Linked DNA regions of Oreochromis niloticus. The protein of the gene in region 2 purifies or fractionates together with the protein of the main gene of each other region. This does not show direct contact. Links are inferred from orthologs where the notes say so. Each region holds a gene or a part of one and is shown on either strand. Other genes may lie near its edges.

Region 1 (7,995 bases), on a different chromosome or scaffold from region 2:
ATAAATGTCTTTCAGTCCCAACAAACATTTAGCGTAAATGTGACTTCACACTCTTACAAGAAATGATATCTCTGACCTGTTGAATGTGTTGTAGTGTGGGGGGAAACACTGCACCATGAGATTTTTGACAACAATCAGATCATCCAGAACATATTTCCTGGTTATTTCTAGAAGACGAACCAGCCACATTTTATCAGCCTCTCTTGTGACTGCTTGTGTGCCCTCAATGCGGGTGCTGACTGTACCCTCCAACACCTGCAACAGAAATGCACCAAAGGCTTCATAAATGCTCACTGGCTTTGAGGCTGTGTCAACCATGACTGCAAACATAGGTTTAAATGAGTCAAAGAGGTCTCCGTAATACACCAGTCCTGCAGCTGACAGAATACTAACCATATGGTCAGAAATACAAAGACTGAAATATTTTATGAAAATAGCGAAGATAAAAGCAAAGGTAAATTTACAGGCAAATTAAATGTAAACAAGTTTTGGATAAGTACACACAAACACATGATTGACTGATATGATTTAAGAAGAAGAAGGAAGAGGTGGCAGGTACTTAAAAAAAATAAAGATGTGGAGAGTTTTCAGACCCTTTGAAATTGTTTCTGTTGATTTTTCTCTCAGTAGTTACAAAGTATTATTCTGTTCTGACCTCAAACATCTTTTCTTTCCACTTTTTGGGTCGCCCAGGCGGGATGAACCCAGTCTGCTTTTTTCGGTCAACCATACGCCGATCAATCTTCTCCTCCCGCTCAATGATACGAACTACTGACACCAGCATGGTGGGGTCACGACGAACTGTTACCATGGACCGCTGCAGTACCATCCATAATTGTTTAGCCAGCTCGTCTGACAGTCCCTGAACCTGGAAGAGAACAGAGAGAGCGAAAGCTTTTTGAGAGGCTTCTGTACAACTACTAATGTTGAACCAGGCTATATTCTTAATCACGGGAGTTTTTTGGTCTGGTTAAAAACAAAAAGAATGAATGCAGGTTTAAGGAACTGGTGTCACTTCATGAAGCCAGGTCAAACTTTTTTAATCATAAACTGTATTTTTTTAAGCACTTAGTATCTGCTAGTATCTAACAATCTGAGATTTTTATTCACTTTTTTCAGATGTAGCTCTTTTATGCCTTTTCAATGCCAAGTTTTCAAATGACAAAAGTACCTGTGCTGTGACCATGTGTGACTGACACTGACTTGTCCAATGAAATTCTTAAACAAGGCAGGTAATCTATGCCAGTTGACCAGGGGTGCACAAACTTGTAACCCAAGAGGAGAATTCCAAGCGCCAACTGGAACTCCGCTTTGCATGTATTCATTTCCTGTACAAGGAAGTGAATACATGCATATTATTTGCATGAACTTTAAGCACAATGTAATGGAGTTTGACCACAAAATGTATTCTAGCAGGCACGTGTGCGCAACCACACATGTAGTCTGAGCAAACTGTACTTATTTATGACGTTTTTTTGTATTTTGTGATGGATTTTATTCCAACAACATTTTTAGGGGGACGGCTGCCACTGGTCCAACTCTCTACATCAACTTTGCTATGTTCGCTTACATCTTCAAAGTAGATGGAAATGAGATTCATGTCACTGGTGTTCTTGCTGTCCATACGGTACTGCTCATACATGAGGTCATCACGTGAACACTCCAGCTCCATCAGCTTCCTGTGGGCCTGCAGCAGCTCTGCCTGTTCTATCAGCTGCTGTGTCTCTCCCACTATCTCTGGCACTATACACAAAGCAAAGGAAAAAGACACCCATGGCTGTAAAAACCAAGAGCAGATAAGGTTTCTATAGTAACGGGATGTTGTTGGCATCTTTTAGATTGAAGTTTTTAGGTTTAGCTAAACTTACCAGAGAAGATATTTTTTAGGTTTTCCACAGCAGCAGCCAACTGGCTGTGCTGAACTACAGCATCCTTGACGTCTTTTAGGTTTTCAATGGTGTTAATGCTCTGCCTCCAGTCTTTACTCACATCAGCCAATGAGCTCTGGATATCTTTGACATCTAGCAGAGCACTGTGCAGCTGGGTCAGTCCAGTCCGAACACCATCCAACTGGGACTGAATGGCTGCCTGAAGAACATCAAGGACCATCAGGAAACAGATTCATGTTCAGTATCATTGTTGAATTACTGTGACTTAATAACGTTGTGCTATATACAAATGCTTTGCTTTCTTGTTTACCGTGTATCCATTTACTGTGTAGATTAATAATTAATACAGTCGCTATAAAAAAAGCATACCTTTATCTTAGCTGTTATTAAATACAAATACTAGACAATGCTAAGAAAACAATAATAGTACACACAGATGAAACACATCACCTTGAGCCGCGCTTCCACTGACGCCTTTTTACGGGCCTCTCGTCTTCTGTATTGCTCCACTTTATCCAGCTGGTCTGACCTCTGCAGCATCCCTGCCACACGCTGCACTGCAGTGGCAACTGCCTCCCTGCTTGTTTCCTCCATTGTCCTGCTCAGGAAATAAGGTGTCAGGTGTGTCCAAAGGTTTCCACACAAGGACCTGCTTAAAGAGAAAAATATCGAAAGGGTTGATCTTTATGTAGTGCTTTTCTAAAACACATTTAACCATTTATTCAATGCAATGCTTTGCTTTACAAACTTTAGCACTCATGACTGCTTTAGATACCTTGATTAATGTGGACATGAAACCCTACGTGTATAAAGGCTAATTTACACTATAAAGCCCAACTCTAAAAACTGGCATAAATTTTCACACTGTCTGTGAAGCTGGATTTAAGAAGTAAGTTTTTTAGAACATGTTTAGCACCATCTTGTGCCAGTAATTCAATTCAACTTAATTCAATTTGATCTACAACATGCTCTTATCACTGTGATAAAATTTTGAACGCTGTAGGCCATAAGAAGATCATTTGTATCCTTCTCTAATTCTGTTAGAGAAGGATACTGTGCTGTGATGAGCTCTGAAACCTGACTGAAACTCTTCAAATAAGCCATTCCTCTGCAGATGATCAGTTAGCTGTTTAACAACTACTTTTTCAAGGATTTGCGAGATAAAAGGAAGGTAGTCAGCCACTGGTGTTGGGGACTGTATGCTGCGGCTCTAAGATGGTATTCCACTTGTGAAGGCACATACATCTTTCCAAGGTCCTGTTTATAAAACCAATAATGCTGTGCAATTATTGAAGGTAATGTCTAATCCTGACACATCACATGCACGTGAATGTCACGTCCATTATTTTCTTCCGGTTATCCCATTCGGACGAAGGGGCGCTGGAGCTGTCACAGAGCAAGAAGCGGACTAAACCCTGGGCAGCTCTGTCGCAGGGACAGAAAGTCATTTCCAAATGACTCTGGCACAGCCTTTGTCTTCTTGACAGTACTTCATTGGCAGACACAGTTAAATGGCTTCTGTGGTCCTAATGCCCCGCGTAACGTTAATGCAACACAATAAAAGCTAGTGTTGTTTTTGCACTGACAGCTATAGCACCACATTCGAACACAGTCGTGACTGGATCAAGTATATAAATCAACTCTAACGTTGAAATGAAAACAGATGATCCAACGTAGTAAATGCATGCTAAGCTAACAACAGGCGAAAACGACCCAGTGTCAGCGACAATAAAACAAGCTAGTTCTTCAGACCCGGAAACTTACCTCACTTAAGGCAAACCCAGAGGGAAGACAACAACCATATCTACCAGTATTAAATATATTATTATTTCAACTAACACAGCCTTTGTTGTCGTTGTTCAACTTCCTGCTTCCAGCAGCGCAGGAGACGCCTGCTGCTTCTTCTTCTTGGTGTTTATTGGCTGTTGACAAACAACGAATTGGTGAATACCGCCACCAACTGGTTTGGAGTGTGGATCGGAATGTCATACAAATGCGTTTGTCTAAGACAATTAAATATGGCCTGGTAACTTTTGCTTCCTCATTTATTTCTAAGTAAATCATTTAAATCTAGTTTAAGTTTAAATCAATTCAGGCTTTCAATCAGTTGTCTTGCTTCTTCCTCATACAGTGTAATATAACATTCTCTATTGTCTCATCAATACTCACATTTTTCATTGCAATGTTTCCCTAAAATGAATAGTGTGCCGTTTAGCCCAGTGTGCCGAAATCTGAGATGTGATGATTGTTTTTTTTCTCCTCCATCCTGTAGTTTTCATTTCTCCAGTTTTCTTTGGATTTTATAAATCCACCATCCTGTCCTTTCTTTCTCCCACTGTTTTTGTCATCTCTCCTTCATTTTGTGTTTGTGTTGTATTTTTTTATTTTTTATTTTATTAAAGCTGAACAAAAACAGTTTTTGGTTGCACATTTTTTATGTGTAATTCAATCCAAGTAGAGCACGATTTAAAAGCACAACTTTGACGTGCTGTACAAGGCAACTAAACACACCACAACAAATCAATGAAAAAAGTAGGAAACACATTTTCTGAAGAAACTGCAGTGTGAATGCTGATAGCTGAATGTTTTGAGCTGAAATGAAATAACTGCTGAATGTTAAGTTAAAAATGTTGAATGAGCTGAAAAATGCGGAATTTTTCACCTGAAAAGAAAAGTGCAGAACTGTTGAGAGCTGACAACCACAAAGAAGTAGCTGAACATGTTTAAGATGTAAATTAAAAAGCTGAGAAATGACAAAAGAAAATTTAGAGTCAGAAAACATCTGAATGAATATTAAAAGTTCATATTCTTTGAATCACTGAATAACTGAAATGTGGGAGAATTCACTACAGACAGGTAAATGCTGTAAGTTTTAACCATTCAGTCAGAAAAGATGATTCTAAAAGTCATCAAGTGACTCCAGCAGCCCAGATCTGAACCACCTGTGTGCAGAAGAGAAATCCACCAATGAACAATAAGCTTGAATTTAACGGGCCAATCAGAATGCTCTATCCAGCTGGCATGCACTAACCCAGGGGTGGGCAACTCCAGGCCTTGAGGGCCGGTGTCCTGCAGGTTTTAGATCTCACCCTGGGTCAACACAGCTGAATCAAATGATTAGTTCATTACCAGGCCTCTGGAGAACTACAAGATATCTTGAGGAAGTCATTTAGCCATTTGAATCAGCTGTGTTGGATCAAGGACACATCTAAAACCTGTAGGACACCGGCCCTCGAGGCCTGGAGTTGACTAACATTGCACTAACTACTGACATACTATTATTCTGTGGCAAAACCCTGTCAAATCTGCCTTACTGCACCTGTTGAAAAACTGCATCTAAATCCAAGACCGTAACTCCTATCAAAACAGCCTTTGAACCGTGAGGATCCCGACGACTAGTTCTACACAACAGTGTGTTCTTTATGTTCCTGCTGTCAAAGAACGTGGTCACAGAAGTGATTTAAAAACGTGAGGTCTTTTCTGCTGTTGAGACAAACTCCTGAGTGAAAATAAAATATTTTTCTATGGGTTAGAAGGTTATCTCTCTACTTGGATCCACACAGTTCAAAAAGTTTACATCTCTGACCTTTGAAAGACACACTGTTGGAAAGAGAACAACAATGGCTATGTTTTGAGGTTTAAATGATGGCTGTGGAGCAAACACTGCGCACACAGCGGCTGTTGAAACAGAAGTCTTTAAGAGTAATCTTGGGAGATTGACAAACAGAGCTTATTAAGGAGGCAGGTGTGAGCCTGGTTGCTATCCGGTCTTTAAGTGATGACGTGGTGAACCCTACTTCAGAGCCCGAACGACTCTGCGTTTATTAAGGCTGTTGTGTTCTTAACAAGTTTTAATGCTTTGTATCTTGCTCTATTTAATCTCCACGAGCCCCTAAAAACAGTAAGGCAACAGTAAGTATCACTGTCGGCCTCTCTCGATTTTTATTACCACTGTTCATCATAAAGCTCCGTTTTTAAAACCACAGTCCAGCAGTTTGCTGACATCACCAGTCAGGCTAGAGCTGATATCACCAGAAAGGGCAGATGAGAGCGGCTTGCCCCGGCTGGGCAGCCAGAACAGCACCACCAAGGCCGGAGATTGAGCAATACTGAAAGAGCATTTGGGAGAAGGACACAGTCCATAACAGCAATGCTCAGTGGCTAGTGAATTTTAGATCAGACCACAGCAACCTCCCTGAATAGGGTCCAGTAACCATTACAGTGGCAGACATCCAAGAGTAGGCCTCCAGTATGAAGAGTTGGACATCACCAGGCCATGACATGGTTCACGGCTTAAGAAGGTTGCACTCCATAAGCATCTGGCAGCACAAATGAACCATCTGCTAGTCGGCGAAAGACACCCGAAATGAGTCATGACTAACCGACAGCCGGATGGTGCTGATCCTCAGGGACTCCAGGAGGGGTCAGTCCCATCCAATAACCTGCCTCAGTATCACATGGAAGCTCTTGTCGGGCATCATAGCAACTAAGATGAACAGGCACCACCACCACTATATCCTGTTGGTTAGCTGAACTGGCAAGAATACCAGAGGCGTAGACGGACAAAATGGTGGCTAACCAACATCACCTGTCTGGTGATGTCACCTAACCAACAGGATATAGTGGTGGTGGACAAGCGGAAGAAGACGCTACAGTTATCGATGTAGTGATACTAAGTGACAGCAACATCAGGAAGAATGAACACGAGAAGCTGGAGAAGTACCAAGGGCTCAAAGAGGAGCTTGAGAAGATGAGGAAGGTGAGCACTAGATGCAGTGCATCCCAAACTAGGCAGGGAGTTGTAATTAGGGGTCCCATCTTAGTTTTATGGAGTGCCGTGTCATTAATTTACATGTGGTCATTTGCAGTGTATAGATCCCCTGTTAAGTGTGGTGACCAACCATCCTCTTTTCCCCTGACATGTCCACTTTTCACGTTCTCTCCAGGGCGTCCGGGGGGATTTTCGAGATTGATGAAAATGTCCGGGTTTTCCTACAGAGGACCCATATGTGTGACGTCATCCTCGAGCTGCAGCTTTGTGAGTTGTTGTTCTGCCACTGTGCTCACAGACGGGACAGACAGCGCGCAGCAGCGGGCCTGGTGATGTTTAAAAGATGCCAAAGCACAAATGCAGCTTTTCAGACAAATTGCAAAATTTCCCTCATACCGTCCCTGTACTGGTAATTTGTCTTATACAGATGAGCCCTTATTTCAGTACCATTATTTAATTTCAGAGGTTTTTAAGTTATTTTTTTTCCCTTGTTGACTTGTAAAAGCCTATGTGACATTTTTGTTTCACCATTCATTAACCGCACAGAGAAGGCATCGTTTAAATATGTTAAAATTTTCTTTAAGCAAACAGTATTATTAAAGTTCTTCATGACTGGGCCAAGTGTCCTCTTTTTTGGAAATCAAAATATGGTCACCCTACTTTATACTGGTGTGGACAGATTTGTCCTCCCTGGGAACACAGCTCGCCACTGTCACGGTCTGCGGGAGGCAGACCGAATGGAGAATGAGTGGAGGACTCAGGTGTGGACACTGACGAGGAGACGGAATTACTTTAACGAAAAACCAGCCTTTATTTGGGGCTGATAAGAGAGCATACAAAAATTAAGTAAGCAAACTGGTAGAGCGCAGACTAAGAAAACTATGACTAAACTATTACGAGACTGGAGAGACTGTGAAAGCTATGAACGCTGAAAATACTCTAAAACATGAAGGGACACTATGAAGTCTAAACCTAGACATGGGGAAGGGAACACAGACGACACCACACTGAACACAGGAAGACTGAGGGCTTAAATACACACACGAGGTGATCGGGGGAAGTGGAGACACATGAGGACAACAGCTGACTGGAATGAACATAATGACGCCTCAGTGGAAGTGAAAGCTAAGTACATAGAACATGGAAACAAGACTTCCAAATAAACAGGAAACATTACAAGATGCAGACATGACATAAATTTAACCAGCACCACAGAGACATAAAGCATGATTTTCAGGGCCAACTCTTGATACTTGAACCCACATAACACAACCAGGAGTTTTTGCAAATCGCTCTAACACATTAATTTGGCAGTCACAAATTAATGAAGCAGGG
Region 2 (8,334 bases):
GCAGACTGAGCACCAATGCATTTCTTGTGATGCAGAGATTTCTCATGAGTTCTGATGGGGTCTTTCCTAAAATTACTGGTCCCAGTAACAAAGGTGCTTGTCGACTCAGAAATCGAGGGAAACTCACGACACACCCGGCAGGACATCATGTTATTTAGCTCGTCATATTCCAGCCACAGAAATTCTTTTGTCCATGAAACCAAAAAACTGCGCTTTCTTTTTGCCTCGTAGTCTGATTTGTCGTAACTTTTCCGCTTTGTGGTCGGCCTTTCTTTGCCTGTCCCTTCTTCATCCTGACCTGTCTTTTTTGGCTCAGCAGAACTAAAATACCTGCGTAAATCCATCTGTCTTTACACATGCCAGTGATTTTTTTTTTTTAAATTCTCTGCGCAATCAACCTCTAGCACGTTTAAGCTTGCTGCGGGAGATTTCACTTGCCACGTTTGAAGAGTAAGCTAGTAAGTGATGTTGTGTCCTGTCTGACTATACCATATTGCACCACTAGAGGGTGTTGTCATCAAATAAGAGGAAAGTGCAGTCGGGAAACTGTAGAGTTAGCCGTCTTAACTATATTCTAACTGATAACTCGATGCGTCTCCGTTACCTCTACGATGTAAAGTTATGTGCTGCATTCATTAAAGAGCACTGTTCTTTGATGAGGACTGGTTTATTACCTGTCGCTGCTACAAATGATAACAGGATTGCCGAGGAATTGGTGCGCAATTAATCGTCACTCACCAATCAATACTGCCACTCTCTATACACAGTTTGCGCGATCGCAAAGTGAAACTGAAGGTAAAAAACAAGCGCAAATTCAAATGCGATTTCAATACGGCAGATATTGACAGAGGCTCATCGATGCCAATGACATAATTACTCAGCTACATTTGCGAAAGAAAGCAAAGGCATTGACATATATTTTCCCTTCCTATGATAGCCCGACGGGCAGGGCTGAGATAGATTTTGGTAGCCCGACTGGAAATATCGCTAGCCCCGGGACGTCGGGCTAGCGATTTTGCGAGCCCTGCAACCACTGATCCAACCACAGGCATTTCTGGATCTAACATTTGTTTTTGGTGCATTCACACATAAGTTCATGCTTTTGAAGTCAACATGTATGTGAGGGAGCAGCTACACTGATCAATACTGAACTCATAAGGGGAAAAATAGACAGCAGGCATTTTTGGCCGTTGGCTTGATTTTAGTTTCGGGTTTAATGAAAGTATGATTTGCAGAGATGACAGTTTATTCCCTCAACTTTTTCATCCATCCATTCCCTTCCGCTTCTCCTTTTCAGGGTCGCGGGGGGGCGCTGGAGCCTTTCCCAGTTGTCTTAGGGCAAGAGGTAGGGTACACCCTGGACAGGTCGGCAGTCTGTCGCTATCCCCACTCAACTTTCTATTACATCTATTGTTTTGGTGGATTAAAGAACGCTGTGTTAATGAGGACATTACTAAGAATGCAGGAGTCAAGCCATTTTACACAAACTAGACTAAACATGTTAGTAAAATTATTAAGATTTATCTGTGTTTTTGGTTGAATTCAGCAAAATTTTTCATTGTGGCTTGTTTACACTGGCAGATTTGTACAGTTCATCTTCTCTCCTGTGTTTCTGAAAGTGGGACATTACTTCCCCAGTATCTATTTTGTATTCTTTGTATTTCACTTGCACAGTATGTATTATGGAGGGTGACCAGTGCTGCCTTAATGGTTAGCGTGTTTGCCCCCCTGCTTCACAAAAATGGTCTTGGTTATTGGCAATCTCAAGCAGGATAACAGAATAATTAAATTATGGACATGACGTCCAACACTAGACCCATAGTGCTCTGAAAAGCGACGTGCCCTGCCTCCTAGGAGCAAATGCACTCCAAAACAAGTGAATCTATGCTAGAACAAAAGAAGAAGACCTTGTGAGGATGCTGAAGGAAACAGGTACAAATCTTTCATTGAAACAAATATGCCAACATAACCTGCATTCCTCAGCAAGGTCAGATTGCAGTCTACAAAAAAAGACATAGTGAGGACATGTCTTTGCCTAAGTCCTCTGGTTTATCCTTAATTACTGTTGTAAAGAATGAAGCTACAAGGACAATGCTTTCAGGCTGGCACAGGTCTAATGGTGATTTATAAGACTGAACATGAGTGCCAAGTGGTAATGTTAATACTGGAGTAACTGACTCGCTGTTACCATCATGAAAAGATAAGTCAGTCCACCACACAACACCCAGTGTTTATAACTCTGTCCCCTGAGCCATATAATAGTCCACACCCAGGAAAGGCCTGTGCACTGCACTAGAGCTGCATTTGGAAAAGAAGAGCACGTTACTATCCAGGAAATATTTACTAATATTAGCTATAAGAAAAATTCAGTTTTTAGCCTGACCCTTTCAATTAGTTTTCTTATTATTAGTAAGCTCTACAGTAAGCAAAGCAAACCCCTATGATCACTGACAGCACGTCACTGTCATTTTACAACACCCGACCAAGCTGCCTAGTGATGAAGAAAAGACAGCGTCACCGTAGAATAAGAGATGAAGACACACGCTGAGAAAGCTAGATAGCATTGTTACCTGGAGGGTATGAGAAACAACCATGGCCTACAGGCACGTCTACAGGACAGGTGTGACAGGTGGAAGCATTCAACTAATGTCATTCACTGTGGCCTCGGAAGCTACTTCAGGCATCTAATTGCCTGAAATAACCAGTGCGGTGTGTTAAGGAACGTCAGGCTGAGCAAACCGGTGTTCCAGAACACCGGCATCCTCTGTCACTACCAATTCTGTCGCCAGAATAACACAACACCACAGGATCAGTATTCTTATCCGCTCGTAGCATTCGTTTTATTTTAGCTAACAACTACCCAAAATCGTTACCTGTTAGCCGTTAGCTAACTCAAGCTGCACAACGACGTAAGGATGTGAAGTCCCACAGCCACACCCACAAATGATGTTGACATTTTTGACAGGTCACTAGTCATCCATCCTTACACATAACCTAAAAAATGACCACACAGTCACCGCTGCTAACACGACAGCTAGCCTCATTCCTCATTTCAACACTATCTAGACTGTTGGCTAAAATAGCCAGCGCTAGCCTGCTACTGGGTAAGGCTAAGCTAGGTCTTAAACAAAAGGTGTGATCATGTAATACACAGTGAAAAACAGAGGACCTATATCGCTAAGGGCATTTTTAGAAGCTATATATCCTTACCGAAGAGTAGGACCGACACAAGCTGTGTCGGTGCTTTCAATTTCCTGTAAAATCCGCTCGTGCTCCGTTATGCACTCCAGGGTTTCACTGTCCGCCATGATTGTTATGTGCATATTACGGCTATCACTGCAGCTACAGCGGAGCATAGGTCAGTGTGAGGTCCGGCCTGTGGGAGGCGCACTACGGTCGTCTTGACCTCGGCGATTGCGGCTTTGTTTCCGCATAGCCTGTGCCTGGTTCCTCAACCACATGGAAAACCACACGGGTTTTGACTGTTTATGATCTTATCATAAATACTGTATAGCGAGTGGTTTGCATGGTTAGCAGTAAAAAAACAGGAAAATAATTTGTACTGTCATTCAAACGGTACTTGCAATAATAAAGATGCCTGCTATCAAATGAGCTTTAGTGGCTTTTATTTGATTAATCTCAGTTCTGCTGTAGATACATTTTAAATAACAACATACAGAGGAGGTTATTTAAATCTTTATGGTGTGCAAGTTTTTTATTTGTTTGTTTGTTTTTGTTTTGTTACATCAAGATACAATTCTGGTTAAAGCCTGACAAATAATTCACACTGACGCACACTGACGTTAATAATACTAACCCTTTTTCACATTAAATGCTTCTGTAATTGAACTCACAGTTTAATCAAATCAAACGCAGTTTGCATGTGTCCGCTAGCTTCTAAGTGCGTTTTTTTTTCCTGCTCTTGGTATTGAGATAAACCAGCGTTTTAAATGTTGTAATTCAGCTAAATCAGTCCACCTTCAGTTGTGTTCAGCAGATGAATCTTGGGTGTGTCTTGGAGTTTACCTTAAGGTGGTTCCAAGAGGTAAGTCCACAGATTCCAACTCTGCAAAAATATTCCCAAAAGCCTTCTTTTCTTCTTCTTTGCCTTCTCCTTCGCTTTGACCAGGCGGGTCAGGTAAAGCAGCATAGATCCTGTCACTAGCCATTCTCTCTTAGTGAAGTATGTCTTAAGTATGAAGACTAAAAATCTGTACGTGTAAGAGAGGATATTTTGTGTGTGTGTGTGTGTGTGTGTGTGTGTGGAGTCGTGCAGGACACCTGCTGTGGTCAGCAGAAAAAAAGGGTGCAACAGGAAAAAGAGACCTTGTGATTCACTGAACTTTGAAGCCAACAAAGCTAATTTCAGCTGTTCTGTGTTAGTAACTGTGGCTTTTATTCACCTCTGAAAATTAAAAAGACAGTCATCAAGCTACAGTTGATGTTGCAGATACAGGGCCTGATTTCTTAGTTAGTTGTCACACTTGTATACTGATCAAAATGTAATATTATAAAGCTTGAGGAAATACAAAACTACAAAATGCAGTTTGATGATGATTTTAGTTGTTAAGGAAAAAAAATCTCTCCAAACCTCCCTGGCCTGATGTGACAAAGTCATTTTGCCTAATAATAACTGTTGTATTAATAATATAATTAGTAATAATATCCATGAGGGATAACCACTTGTTCAGTGACCTGTAAACCACAGAGCTCCCTTTTCTGTCAGTTTGTTCAGTCTGTTGTTGTCAGCAGCTCCACCAGCAGACTCTCCACAACTAACTGATAGAAAAACTTCTCCAATATCTGCTGTGCATGTTAAAGGATTTCAGTTTCTTTGGGAAAGATAGACTTCCAGTTCAGCCTGGCTTCAGAGTGCAGAGGTGGCAAAAGTACCTAAGGAGAAATACACAGACTTGATTCAACTTCTTTACTGAAGATTACTTAAGATTAAAAATGATGACATCTCATCTTTAAATCTGCAGTTTATCAAGTGTCACGAGCAGTCATTACCTTTGAATATAACCTCTCTTATTCCGCTCCTCTCATGTCTTTTCTTACATTTTCTCCATATATGAATGAAATTTGCTCTCATTTCTCTCCCTGGAAATCCAACATCTGGACCTTTAGCAACACACTTTGTGACAAACTGCACATGAACAGTTTGTGTGTTTGCTGATGTTTGTTGAGCTGATAGAAACATTGTACAAATGTCAAACATAACAAATGTTATGCCGTACAGAGACATTACAGCCTGGACTCATTCCTCTTCCGTAGCGCTAGCTAGAAGCTGGCTACAACATACCTGCACTTGTTCCAGCCCACTTTAACCACTGAGTATAAACACTAGACGATACCGCTGAGCCTAAAGTAACTAGCCTGTTTTGAAAATTTAAGGAGTAGAAAGTACTAATATTTGTGTTAAAATGCAGGGAGTAATAGTGAAAGGCTGTCAAAAAAAATAACTAGTAAGTAAGTATTTCCAGTAAAGTACAGATACCTGAAAATACCTGAGAAGTATTTGTACTTTGTTACTTTCTGACTCAGTCAATGTGGATGTCCAGGTACTTTTACTCCTCCACCACATTAATATTATGTCTCAACACAGACACAGTGTATGTGTCCTCTTCCCTCACAGTTCCTCTGGTTTTATTCACATTCAGATGATTTCTGTCAGGCCACTTCACAAAAAAATCCACTAGTGTTCTGTAGTTACCCTGGATGTCAATTATGATCAGGTGCAGTGTGACGTGGCTGGTAGGATAAGGTGGGAGGCTGGGCATGTGGACGCCCAATATCGCAGAATGGCATTTGGGATGTGAGCTGGAGCACTACTGACTAGATATAGTTTGTCTCACCTCCACAGGTACCAAGGGTTTTGGAACAAAAGTCTGGCAGATGGGACTCTGGATTTGTCCTTTTCTGGAGTATCCAATGGTGTTAGGTGCTGAGGGGATGCTTTCAGACCTCTGTCCTACACACGGGTTGACAGACTGTAACATTTGATCTGAGGCTGTGGACACTTGGGTAAAGAGAGCTCCCTGTTGGCCACACGACAGGTTTAGATGAAAGTCACCCTGAGATGCTAAAGGCTCTGGACACTGCCTTGGTTGACATACGTCTTTAATGATACGTGGAGGTCTGGCACAGTGCCTGTGGACTGGCAAACCAGGATGGTGATTCCCATTTTCAAAAAGGGGGACCGGAGAGTGAGCTCCAGTGGTCAGGGTATTACATTTGTTCCAGGAAAGGAGGTCAGTTGTTGAAACTTGGACCCAGAAGCAGCAAAGCAGGTTCTGTCCTGGCTGTCGAACCCTTGTGGGACATCTGGAGGGATAACAGGAGTTTGACCATCCAATCTATGCGTGTTTTGTGGATTTGGAGAAGATTTTCCTGGGGGTACCTGTGGGTGTTTTGGGGTCCAGCACACTGCTATGGGACATCAGGTCCCTGTAAAACTGAAGTGCAAAGTCCTGTTTTTGATTTTTCATGGACGGCATCTCAAGGAGCTTCCAGGGTGACGAGGGCGTCTGCTCTGAGAGTCTCAGAATAGCAACCTTGCTTGTTGCGGATGACATGGCTCGTTTGGCTTCATCAGAATGTGACCTTCAGTACTCACTGGAGTGGTTTGCAGCCTCACCTGAGCCTGGTTCTGCCAGACGTTTCTTCCTGTTAAAAGCAAGTTTTTCCTTCCCACTGTCGCCAAAGTGCCTGATCATAGGGGGCCATCAAACTGTTAAGGTTTTCTCTTTTCTCTCTGTATTGTTACAGGGTCTTTATCTTACATTATAAAGCCCCTTGAATGAAATTGAATTGAATTAAATTCTGTTGACTACAGCCTATTTAACAATATAAGCAAAGGTCTTGCACATTAAAAACAACCTAAAACAAACAAACAAACAAACAAACATCACTGTTTTGGCCGATTGTCCCTTCTTTGCACTGCACTTGCAGGAGAGCAGCATGACTCCTAACACTGTGCATGCTTTTTTCTTTTTTTTAACTAAACTTGACGTGAGTATTTACTGAACCACAGTCTGACAGTTTGTCTGTTTACCACATATAACGTAAAGTCCAAAAACTTGTCAGACTCGCACACCGTTTAATTAATGTGATGGCAGTTAAGTGTGGCACACATACACCACACCACCTCTCTCCACAAGCAGTGGCGCTCTGGAAACCATGTGACCAATAAGAAATGAAAAACAAACACATGCAGGTTACAGGTGTGACACCTGTTAGGTTAAAGATAAAGAGCCTGTGTTAGATGTTAAGCTAGTCATTCCTCCCTGTGCATACATGAATCATAGTTTCCCCATAAAAATATATTTTGAATGTTTGCATTTGTTCACTCCTCAAATAGTATGGTTATAATTTTAAGCTTGCTTCTGTGGGTGATTGCACTTGACTATGGAGGCTTAAAAAAGCATGTATTTGGCATTACACACTGTGGAAACAGTACTCAACACTTCATCACAGTGATAATGTAGTTGGGCAAAATGAACGTTCTCAAATACTAATGTTACCTAAAACTACACAGTGTAAATGTAAATGACTACTGCATTCTATACAAATACAAGGAAGTGTGTGTGTGTGTGTGTGTGTGTGTGTGTGTGTGTGTGTGTGTGTGTGTGTGAGAGAGAGAGAGAATATTGTAATGTTTAAATGTACTATTTGATTGCAATAATAAAACTCAGCTCAAATGATTATGGTGTGTGGATAAACACATGGTGGCACAAAAGGTTACCATCTCTTCTTAATATTGTGGGCAAGGCAACAGGCCTCGGTCAGCTTACACAAGAACTTTCTATTTCCTGCTATTCTTCTTGGAATTGATTGGCCCATTAGGGCCAATGACATCTTTACAAAAGCTACAACTATGAGTTTCCTTATTACCCAACCAAAAACAAGTACTGGGTCACTCTCTCTCTCTCTCTCTCTCTCTCACACACACACACACACACACACACACACACACACACACCAGCAGTTGCAAAAAATGGCTTGATATTACACAATGGAAATGAAGAAAGCATACATAAACATTTAAGATGACAGACAAATGCAGCTTAAACTCTCTCTCTCTCACACACACGCACACACACTCTCTCTGTGACACAATAGCACTGATACTGTATTACTTTATGAGGCGTGTTTAATTTGAGTTTCTGGCATTAACACATTTTGAACACAGCAGGGAGAGACATCAGTGCACATCGCTAATCTGTGTGCAAAAGATCCCATTATATAAGACAACAGTATATATACTTCCAAATACTGGCAGCCAAAGACTTTCTTGACTTAAAACATTGTTTTTCCTTTGACAGTAAAGATGTA
Region 3 (8,240 bases), on a different chromosome or scaffold from region 2:
AATGCCACAACTGCGCATCTCATCCTGCAGAAAGATAAATACGTTAATGTTGCAGCAGGTAAAGGAAAACAGTGATTTGTGGCAGCTTTCATATGAAATCCTCAGCATTTGTTGTAACAGAAGCTCTAAGCACACAAGCCAAAATCCCTGCCTCCAGAAATTACAACATAATTAACTATTATTTTTGGTAAATGTAGTATTTACTTTATAAAATGAGTTCCCCACATGACAAGGTTGTGCTTTTATTGTACAAGGAGCATGCAAAAAACCCCAAAATATAAAATTATATAAAAAGGAGCTTAAAAGCCTCACAGTGGAAAAATTTCAACAGTTGAATCATTTAAGCAGATTAATACCGGATTATCAAAGGTTTGGTTTCTGTTACTCAATTTAGGAGGTTCTTGGTTAAAAACTAATCAACAATTGAAGAAAACAAAACACTGAGTGAGAAACCATAAGAACCAAGAGACAAAACAGAAATAATTCTGATCCACCTTAAGTTTAGCCAAAGCCTCAGGAGTCATGAGGTTCATCCTCCTCCACATCTCCTCAGAGTTTCTGTGTTTCGTGGCCTCGATGATAATATCTTTGTAGCTCTGGAGCGCTGCCTTGATGTCTTTGACCAGCAGGGACTGCAGGGTGAAAGTCAGGTCCAGGCCGATCTCGGTGAGCTGCTGACAGTGTTCTTTAGCCACTTTCACGCACTCCGCTGCCGTCGACAGGCTCTCCTTACTGTCGAACACCTAGCAATGAGGAAATAAAAAAATTTACTGTATTAAGAAAACTATACAACCATAAATTTAAACTTGCACGCTGCATGCTCTGGCTGCCATTTAAGAGATCCTCTTGTGTTGCAGCAATACTTTTCAGTTCTTTGCCCTTCTCAGATGGCTTTTTTTTTATTACTAAAAGAACTCAAATTTTTTATACACCTGAGATCCAGAAGCTTATCCTCTGTATACCTAGACACATTGTTGGTTATTTGCGTATTTTAAACCATTAACACCCAAAAACACCACCGGAACACACAAATATTACATCGTGTCTCAGTCGCTTAGTATGTTTTTGGCTATAAACAATAAAGAATATACAAATGATAGATGTTACATATCTTCTAATCATAGGGGACGTACCTATTACTCATTTTAGGGTTTTACCATCTGACATTCTAACTACCTGCTTGCTGAAGGCGTCCACAAACATCCTCATGGCTGATCTGGACCAGACCACGAAGGCAGAATAGCAGCCTGTGTTCCCGGCAAAGTCCATCTGAAATTCCTTGGCCGTCTCCAGCAGGCTGGTGAAGAATATGTTGCAGAGTTTGTGGATGTAGAGCAGCGTGGCTCCTTCAATGCGAAGCTGCCGTATAGCAGTCTGCACTGCAGCGGCGCGGTTCTTCAGAAACAGCTCACAGGCTTTAGTGGACTGGCCTGAAACACAGATGACTGTGTGATGAGACAGTACAGATGTTCATGGCAATTACATTGTCTTTTTGCAAATACATGCAAACTGTGATGCATTATGGGAATCTGAGGGCCTTTATATTTATGACTGCAAATGTACAACATGTGTAGCTATTTCTCAGCTGATTCTGGTATGTTTTTTAGTATATGTCTTGAAACCTATTAAGCTAAATGGAAAAAAAAAAGTCAATTAAATTTGAGTAAAGTGGATGGCAAATTCTCCTTGAATATATAAAGAATACCTGGGAGTGAAGGGACAAAATGTTTAGAAAATAATTATGGGAGATATTAAGAGAGTATTATATGTTAATAGTTAACTGAAATATGAACTTTTGTGATTTTTTCACATTGCCAAAGCGATCCTACCTCAGTGTCTCTCTCTTTCCTTTTGATTGAGTTTTAAAATAGGTTTATACCCTACATACTCCTGCTAAAGGATAATGTTTTGCCCGAAAAAGGTCAAGTACTGAAAAATTGCAAATAAACATGTTTTTGCAAATCAGTCAGTGTGTGGGAGTCTGTTTGCAAAGCTCAGGCATAATTAAAAATGGATCCACTCGAAGCTGTTCTGCACCAAAGCAAAATACAAATTTCTAAGGCTTTATAACATTTGGCCATTCAAGAACAATTCTGACAAAAAATAAATAGTAAACTATATATAAACTATCATGAGGTTAGTTCTCTTAGTGCTCTGAATAGGAAAGTTATTTTCTTAATTAAGTAGTTTGAGAATATTCACCTTGACTGAAGATGAAGAGAAAAACAGTGAATACGTACAGATCACCGCAAGCACAGCTTATTTGTCTGAAAATTACACTTTAACTGCATCCAAGGTCGAACTCGGACAACAAGCAATTTGAAAGTCAAGTCCATGCAAATGATGGAAGAGAATGAGCTAAACTCCCTGAATAATGAACAGTGAATTGTGGAAACCCTGTGAGTGGGCTCCTTACTGTGAATACACTGAATATAAAGTGAGATCTAAGCAGACAGGTGTTATTTGTTTTGGTGATGTGTGCAAGCTTGTTATTATTGAGGAAAATACAAAAAAATAAAAGGACCTAGTCTGATGAGCTGGGAAACAGCCCGCCGGGTTGCTTTAGGACCGCCACGAAGTGACCGATCTGGAGACAACTCAAACACCAGGACCTCTGTCAGCTGCCGCACACGTTCATCCACCTTCCCCCTAAGCTCTTTAACCTTCGGGGTGACAGGCTGATCTCTGAGATACTCGTTGAGCTTGTCCAGCAGGTCAACAGCACCCTCGAAGTCTCTCTGGGCAATGCACACGTCCAGATCCTCTGGCAGCTCCTGGATCCACTCAAGACTAAGATTCACGCTCTCCTCACCATCAACCGTGTCTTCATCGTCATCCATATCAAAAGGATTGGTGGATACCTCAGCTCTAACAGGAGAAGTGGGGACCTCCTCCTCCTTCTTGTGCCTGTCTTTGGAGACTTTGTTTTTCTTGGTTTCATCTAGGATCTCCAACCACTCTTTCTTAACTTTGCTGTTCTCTGCCTGGAAGATGCGGCTGTCTGGAAACATCAGGATCTTGAACATGTCCTTCATCGGAGGGTTGTCTTTTACGTTAACCACAGCAAAGCTCTCCAGGTCATACAGAGCGTTGTATTTATACTTAACCGTGCCACGGCGGTTAGGCAGCCAGGTGGCAATCAGCAGACAGTCATTCATCAGGAAAGCATGCACCTTCTGAATGGGGGACATGTTGTCAACATCAAACTCTGCAAGGTCCCCATTGTAGATAAGGTGCCTGCCTGGGGTGTCCATGATGTTTTTAACCCCTTCCACTTTCTCCAACAGTGAGGTGAGGGTCCTCTGCTTCACCTCCTCCGTCTCCTTGGGAAAAGCTGCCTGCATCTCTTTAGACGTCTCATCCTTATCTGTGGACAGCAGGGCCTGAGTGATACTCTCCATGATGCTCTTCTGTTCAGTCAGGATGTGGCTCAGCTGGTACATTTCGCTCTCCAGATAGGAAATCTCTTTGGCAGTTTCGATGAACTGTCTGTAGTTCTTGTAAACATTTTTCTTCAGATTTTGAGCCGTTTCGTCCGCAAGGTTTTGGATTTTTTGTCGGTGCTCCTGCAAATCCCTGTCGCCATCGGACTGCTGTGACAGCTGCTTGACGTAATTTTGCGGGTCGAAATTGGGCGATTCGAGCAGCTTCCGTAGTCGGTTCCCCGTTTCCGACATCTTTTGCCGTGTAACTGTTTACTTATTGAGATAAATTGTTGAGAAAATATAGAAAAAACTGGACAGAGAACTAGTTTATCGAGGCTCCTTGGTTCATATCCGCTTGTAGTCTAAACAGGAAGTTGACACCCTGGAACGTCACGGGATACAAAAAAATAATAAAAACAATTTTAAAAAATCTAAATGATAATTAGTCGTTCATAATGGGTCTTATATTTATTTTTAATATAATTTAACATATGTTAATGATTTATATTAGAAAGCCGTGTTGCTTTTATTTATTTAACTGGTGGAAACTACTTGAAACGAACAACACTACAGTTCCCATAATCCATTGCCAAGACCTTCGCTTGACTATTCTATCAAGTTTATGGTAGTTACGCAAAACTAAACAGGATGTAGCATTTTATAAAACGAAAGAATGTTCCATTTTTGAAAAAAGATATTAGTGGATGCTACAGAACGCATATGCAGATAGTTTGATATTTTAAACTTATACATCAAAACAAAAAAGAAAATAGCCATATTGAACTCAGGCTTTTACTTAAAACTTACTTAGTCGTTTAAAACTGACTTAGTTGTTTTACTTTGAAACCCGTAGCGGAATTTATTTTGTCCTATTGTGACAGACCTGATACACGGATCTTCGCGCTAGCTTTGGTCTGACGGTTAGTAATATGAAAATGTTACTGAAAATTTCATGACAGAAAGTATTTGGACACGTATTGGTAATTTGTCAGACTACATTTTGAGACGACGTGATGCTACCGCTTTTTTGAGACCTGTACAAACTGCATTAGCTAGTTGGCGCTAACACGCTAACCAAAAAGAACATAACAACAAATATCATCAAAACAACAAAAAAACTTTCCTCTCTTGTCATGGATGAGGATTTTCTGCTCGCTATTCGGCTGCAGGAGCAGTTTGATCAGGAATACCGGGCTTCATTATCTTCATCAAGTGGTACTATAGATAATAGTTTCGGGCAGAGCAATAAGAAACGGAGAGTGGAGGTAGCTGGAGGTGGTAGCGATGTTGTTCCCTACTGGAAACCGAATCCCCAGCTTGAGAGGCCACTGTCCATTGTGGACGAGTCCTGGGAGATGCTTGACCCTAGCCCCGACATCAGGGCCATGTTTCTGGAGTTCAATGACATGTTCTTCTGGGGTAAACTCAGCGGTGTGGAGGTGAAGTGGAGCTCGAGAATGACCTTGTAAGTCATGCATGTTTTTGTTATTTTTAACTCCCACAAACTTGTCTACACAATAACACCTTTGATTTTTGTATGGGATTTGGTTTGGCATGTCTGTAATGTGTCCTGCTCCTCTTTTCCTCTCTTTCTTCTCTTAGGTGTGCTGGAGTTTGTTCTTATGAGGGTCAAGGTGGACTGTGTTCAATCAGGCTGAGTGAGCCTCTGCTGAAGCTTAGACCCAGAAAAGACCTGGTAGAGGTGAGGTGGACCTGAACACCATTCACATCAGAAACACTGGGAAAGGGCTTGTTGTAGGGGCTGAAATTTATACAACTATCATTTTACCTCCCTAACCCCAGCAGTGAATGCGTGACAGTGTGATAGATTAGAACTTGTAATCCTTAAAAAAGAGGACAATTTTCATTTTATTAATCAGTTTATTTTCACTGGTTGCCACAGACCCTTCTCCATGAAATGATTCACGCGCTCCTGTTTGTGACACAAAATAACCGGGACAGAGATGGCCACGGACCTGAGTTCTGCAAACACATGAACCGGATCAACAAAGCCAGTGGGACCAAGATTACTGTAAGTATATGTTCTTGAGACATATTCAAACTTATTCTGTTTTGTGGACCACATATACATACAAACCTTCAAATGTACAGTTGTATTCAGAAGTTTACATATAATCATCATGGACTTGAATGTCATAGGAATTTGGGGCTTTTAATGATTTGTTTGAACTGCTGTTCAGGGTGCAATGATTGTACAGCAAAGTAATCAAGAAACATTTAAATTCATTTTGGATTTTCTCTAATCTCTCTCTTTCATAAACTTATGTCTTGCCATCTTTCCTTCCTTTCATCAGATCTACCACAGCTTCCACGATGAGGTTGATATGTACCGGCAGCACTGGTGGCGGTGTAATGGGCCCTGCCAGAAGCGTAAACCCTACTTTGGCTACGTGAAGAGAGCCATGAATAGAGCTCCTTCTTCTCTGGACCCTTGGTGGGAGGATCACCAGAGAACATGTGGTGGCACATACACCAAAATCAAGGAGCCTGAAGGATATGGCAAAAAAGGCCAAAAAAACAGCAAGACCTCAGAGAAGAAGGCCGCAGGAAGTGGCAAGCCTTCAAGTACGACTACAGGTAACATGCCCGTACACTCCTGTGTATTAAGCTTTAATACATTGTGCCAACAAACTAGAAAATGTTGTTCATATTTCAAACATTTTAAACATCAGTGAAAAATGTTCTTAATTTTTTGTGACAGCCTCAAAACAACAGTCATGTTATGCTTTGATGCCTGACTGCTTTTAACCGTGAATAGATTGTTTCCACTGAGTAACTTGAGCATGTAAAATCAATTTAAATCAAATGACCCCCTGCAACAAAACATGCAGGAAATATAAAGAATGGTATTTACTGAATTGGCCCCTCAGAGACTCTCGGTTGACCCACTGGACAGCTTTGGAAACATTAAGTGTGTAATTACTACACAATTAATAATAATAATAGTAATAATAATAATAACAGTAATAATAATAGTAATAATAATAGTAATAACTTCTTTACACTTTCAGAAAGAGGAGTTTCACTGGTTAGGCCCACTTAAGGTCAAAATGGACTTTATGTGGTCCACAGTGTGAAATGAGTATGACACCCCTGATTTAGAGCACCTGAAGTGATCACTTTACATACACTGACTTCATTGTCAGAAACTCTGGTCGTGTATATAAAAAGATATAATATAAGAACTGAAATTAAAGAAAAAGCAAACCAGGTCCACTTGAACTAAGTTACTGGATTTAAATACATTGCATGGTTGACTCTAAATTGTATCATTTCCTGTCCCAGGTTCTGGATCACAGGATATAAGGGACATCATCCCATTTAGTGGGAAAGGCTTCATCCTTGGGGGGAAGTCTCAGGACTCAACGTCTTACTCGCCATCTCCCAGGCCACCACTTCCTGTTGTGAAAACACCATTGTCCAACCCTGTCCCCTCCCCAAAGAAGTTCTTCACGCCATCGTCCCCGCCTAAAAGTCTCTCCTCTCCTGTTCACTCTAACAAGACCAATGGGATTTCCAACACTTTTACCTCAGTCAGACCATCCACTTCCATGGGGAGAAAGCCACCTGTAAAGAGGTCTGTCGGCAACACGACGCACTTTGTCAACATAAACGGTTCACCAGTGAAAATGCCAAAATCCCAGAGCAGTAGTAGCAGCCAAGGAGGAGATAAGAGCAAACAGAGTTCCATTGACGACCTTTTTAATAGCACAAGCCTCAGGAAGTCAGAGACCAAAAGAGACTCACTGACATCACCAAAGTCTTCCACAAATGCTGCTTCTGCCTCCTCTAGATTTCAAAAACAACAAAATAATCATTTGACTTCCTCTCCCAGCACACCCAGTCCCAGCCCTAACATAACAAACCATTCCAAGGTCTCATCTGTAGTTACAACTGGATCCCAGGGTAGCACTTCAAGAGCTGTACAGTCCAAGGATTTTACTAATTCTGACAGTGACAGCACATCAGCGGCTGTGGGTAGGAATCGGACGCCGAGAAAGAGGGCGTGGGATGACCGCAGCAGCTCTGCCAGCATCTTTGACTTCTTCCAGAAGACCTTAGGCAGCGATTCAGCAGCATCGAAGGAATCAATAAAGGCAAAATCACCAGCAGTGCTGCAGAGAACTACCAGTGCCACCACCACACCCTCTTCTGCTTCTCTGCAGTCCTCAGCAGGACTGCACAGTGTTGCCTCCTCCTCGTCTTCATCCTCCTCCTCCTTTGCAGTGATGGTCAGTTGTCCAGTGTGCCAAGCAAAGGTCCAGGAGTCAAAGATCAACGAGCATCTTGATTCCTGCCTCTCTTGAATAAGGAGGTGAAAACTTCCAGAAAGTCAGAATAAGTTTGATGTTGCACTAAAACTTTTTAACTTTTGATGTTCAATAAAATTTTATCCTTGTTTGTTCAATAAGGCATGGCATAGTCATTTTAACTATTTTGACTATTTAAAGAATGACATTCTCCTACTTTATATCACACTGATTACTTCTGCAGTTTCACAGCATGTCTTTCTGTCTGCTGTAACAAAATTCCTCACTGAACTGGGCTGCATTAGAAAACTATGACAGCAGTGTTTTGCGGAAGAACGTCAGTGTGATATTAGCAGTTATGGTTCGAATTCAGAAACCGCTTTGTCTTAGTCTACAAAACCTACTTTTTGTCTCCTCTGGAAGTGGATATTATTGATTTGTGGTTCCTGCAGTGGGATGTACCCCCACCCCCCCAAACCTCAGGTCTGCATCTGCTGCCCTTCAGACAACAGGAGACGCCGTCTGATCTCTGCTGATCTGATCT

The links. The genes of interacting proteins can lie anywhere in the genome.
Region 1: the proteins of exoc6 (region 2) and exoc3 purify together in Homo sapiens (affinity purification with mass spectrometry; 6 studies listed by BioGRID and IntAct, counting the BioPlex papers as one, with this or other methods). This does not show direct contact. The link is inferred for Oreochromis niloticus from reciprocal best matches to the Homo sapiens genes EXOC6 and EXOC3.
Region 3: the proteins of exoc6 (region 2) and exoc8 purify together in Homo sapiens (affinity purification with mass spectrometry; 4 studies listed by BioGRID and IntAct, counting the BioPlex papers as one, with this or other methods). This does not show direct contact. The link is inferred for Oreochromis niloticus from reciprocal best matches to the Homo sapiens genes EXOC6 and EXOC8.

What each region holds. Positions count from the first base shown.
Region 1 is NC_031982.2:272,609-280,603, reverse strand, and holds the start of exoc3 (exocyst complex component 3), read right to left. Parts: upstream 3,816-7,995; 5' UTR 3,654-3,815; intron 2,542-3,653; 5' UTR 2,484-2,541; coding exon 2,340-2,483; intron 2,089-2,339; coding exon 1,869-2,088; intron 1,744-1,868; coding exon 1,571-1,743; intron 869-1,570; coding exon 656-868; intron 256-655; coding exon 77-255; intron 1-76. UniProt on the Homo sapiens protein: Component of the exocyst complex involved in the docking of exocytic vesicles with fusion sites on the plasma membrane.
Region 2 is NC_031973.2:28,333,835-28,342,168, forward strand, and holds the start of exoc6 (exocyst complex component 6), read right to left. Parts: upstream 3,399-8,334; 5' UTR 3,357-3,398; coding exon 3,211-3,356; intron 3,200-3,210; exon of another isoform or gene 2,189-3,199; intron 1,408-2,188; exon of another isoform or gene 345-1,407; coding exon of another isoform or gene 1-344. Other genes in the region: zinc finger protein 862-like, read right to left, coding at 1-344. UniProt on the Homo sapiens protein: Component of the exocyst complex involved in the docking of exocytic vesicles with fusion sites on the plasma membrane.
Region 3 is NC_031980.2:18,418,778-18,427,017, forward strand, and holds the start of exoc8 (exocyst complex component 8), read right to left. Parts: upstream 3,816-8,240; 5' UTR 3,678-3,815; coding exon 2,525-3,677; intron 1,431-2,524; coding exon 1,177-1,430; intron 744-1,176; coding exon 495-743; intron 25-494; coding exon 1-24. Other genes in the region: DNA-dependent metalloprotease SPRTN, read left to right, coding at 4,559-4,890, 5,028-5,127, 5,329-5,457, 5,741-6,023, 6,732-7,753. UniProt on the Homo sapiens protein: Component of the exocyst complex involved in the docking of exocytic vesicles with fusion sites on the plasma membrane.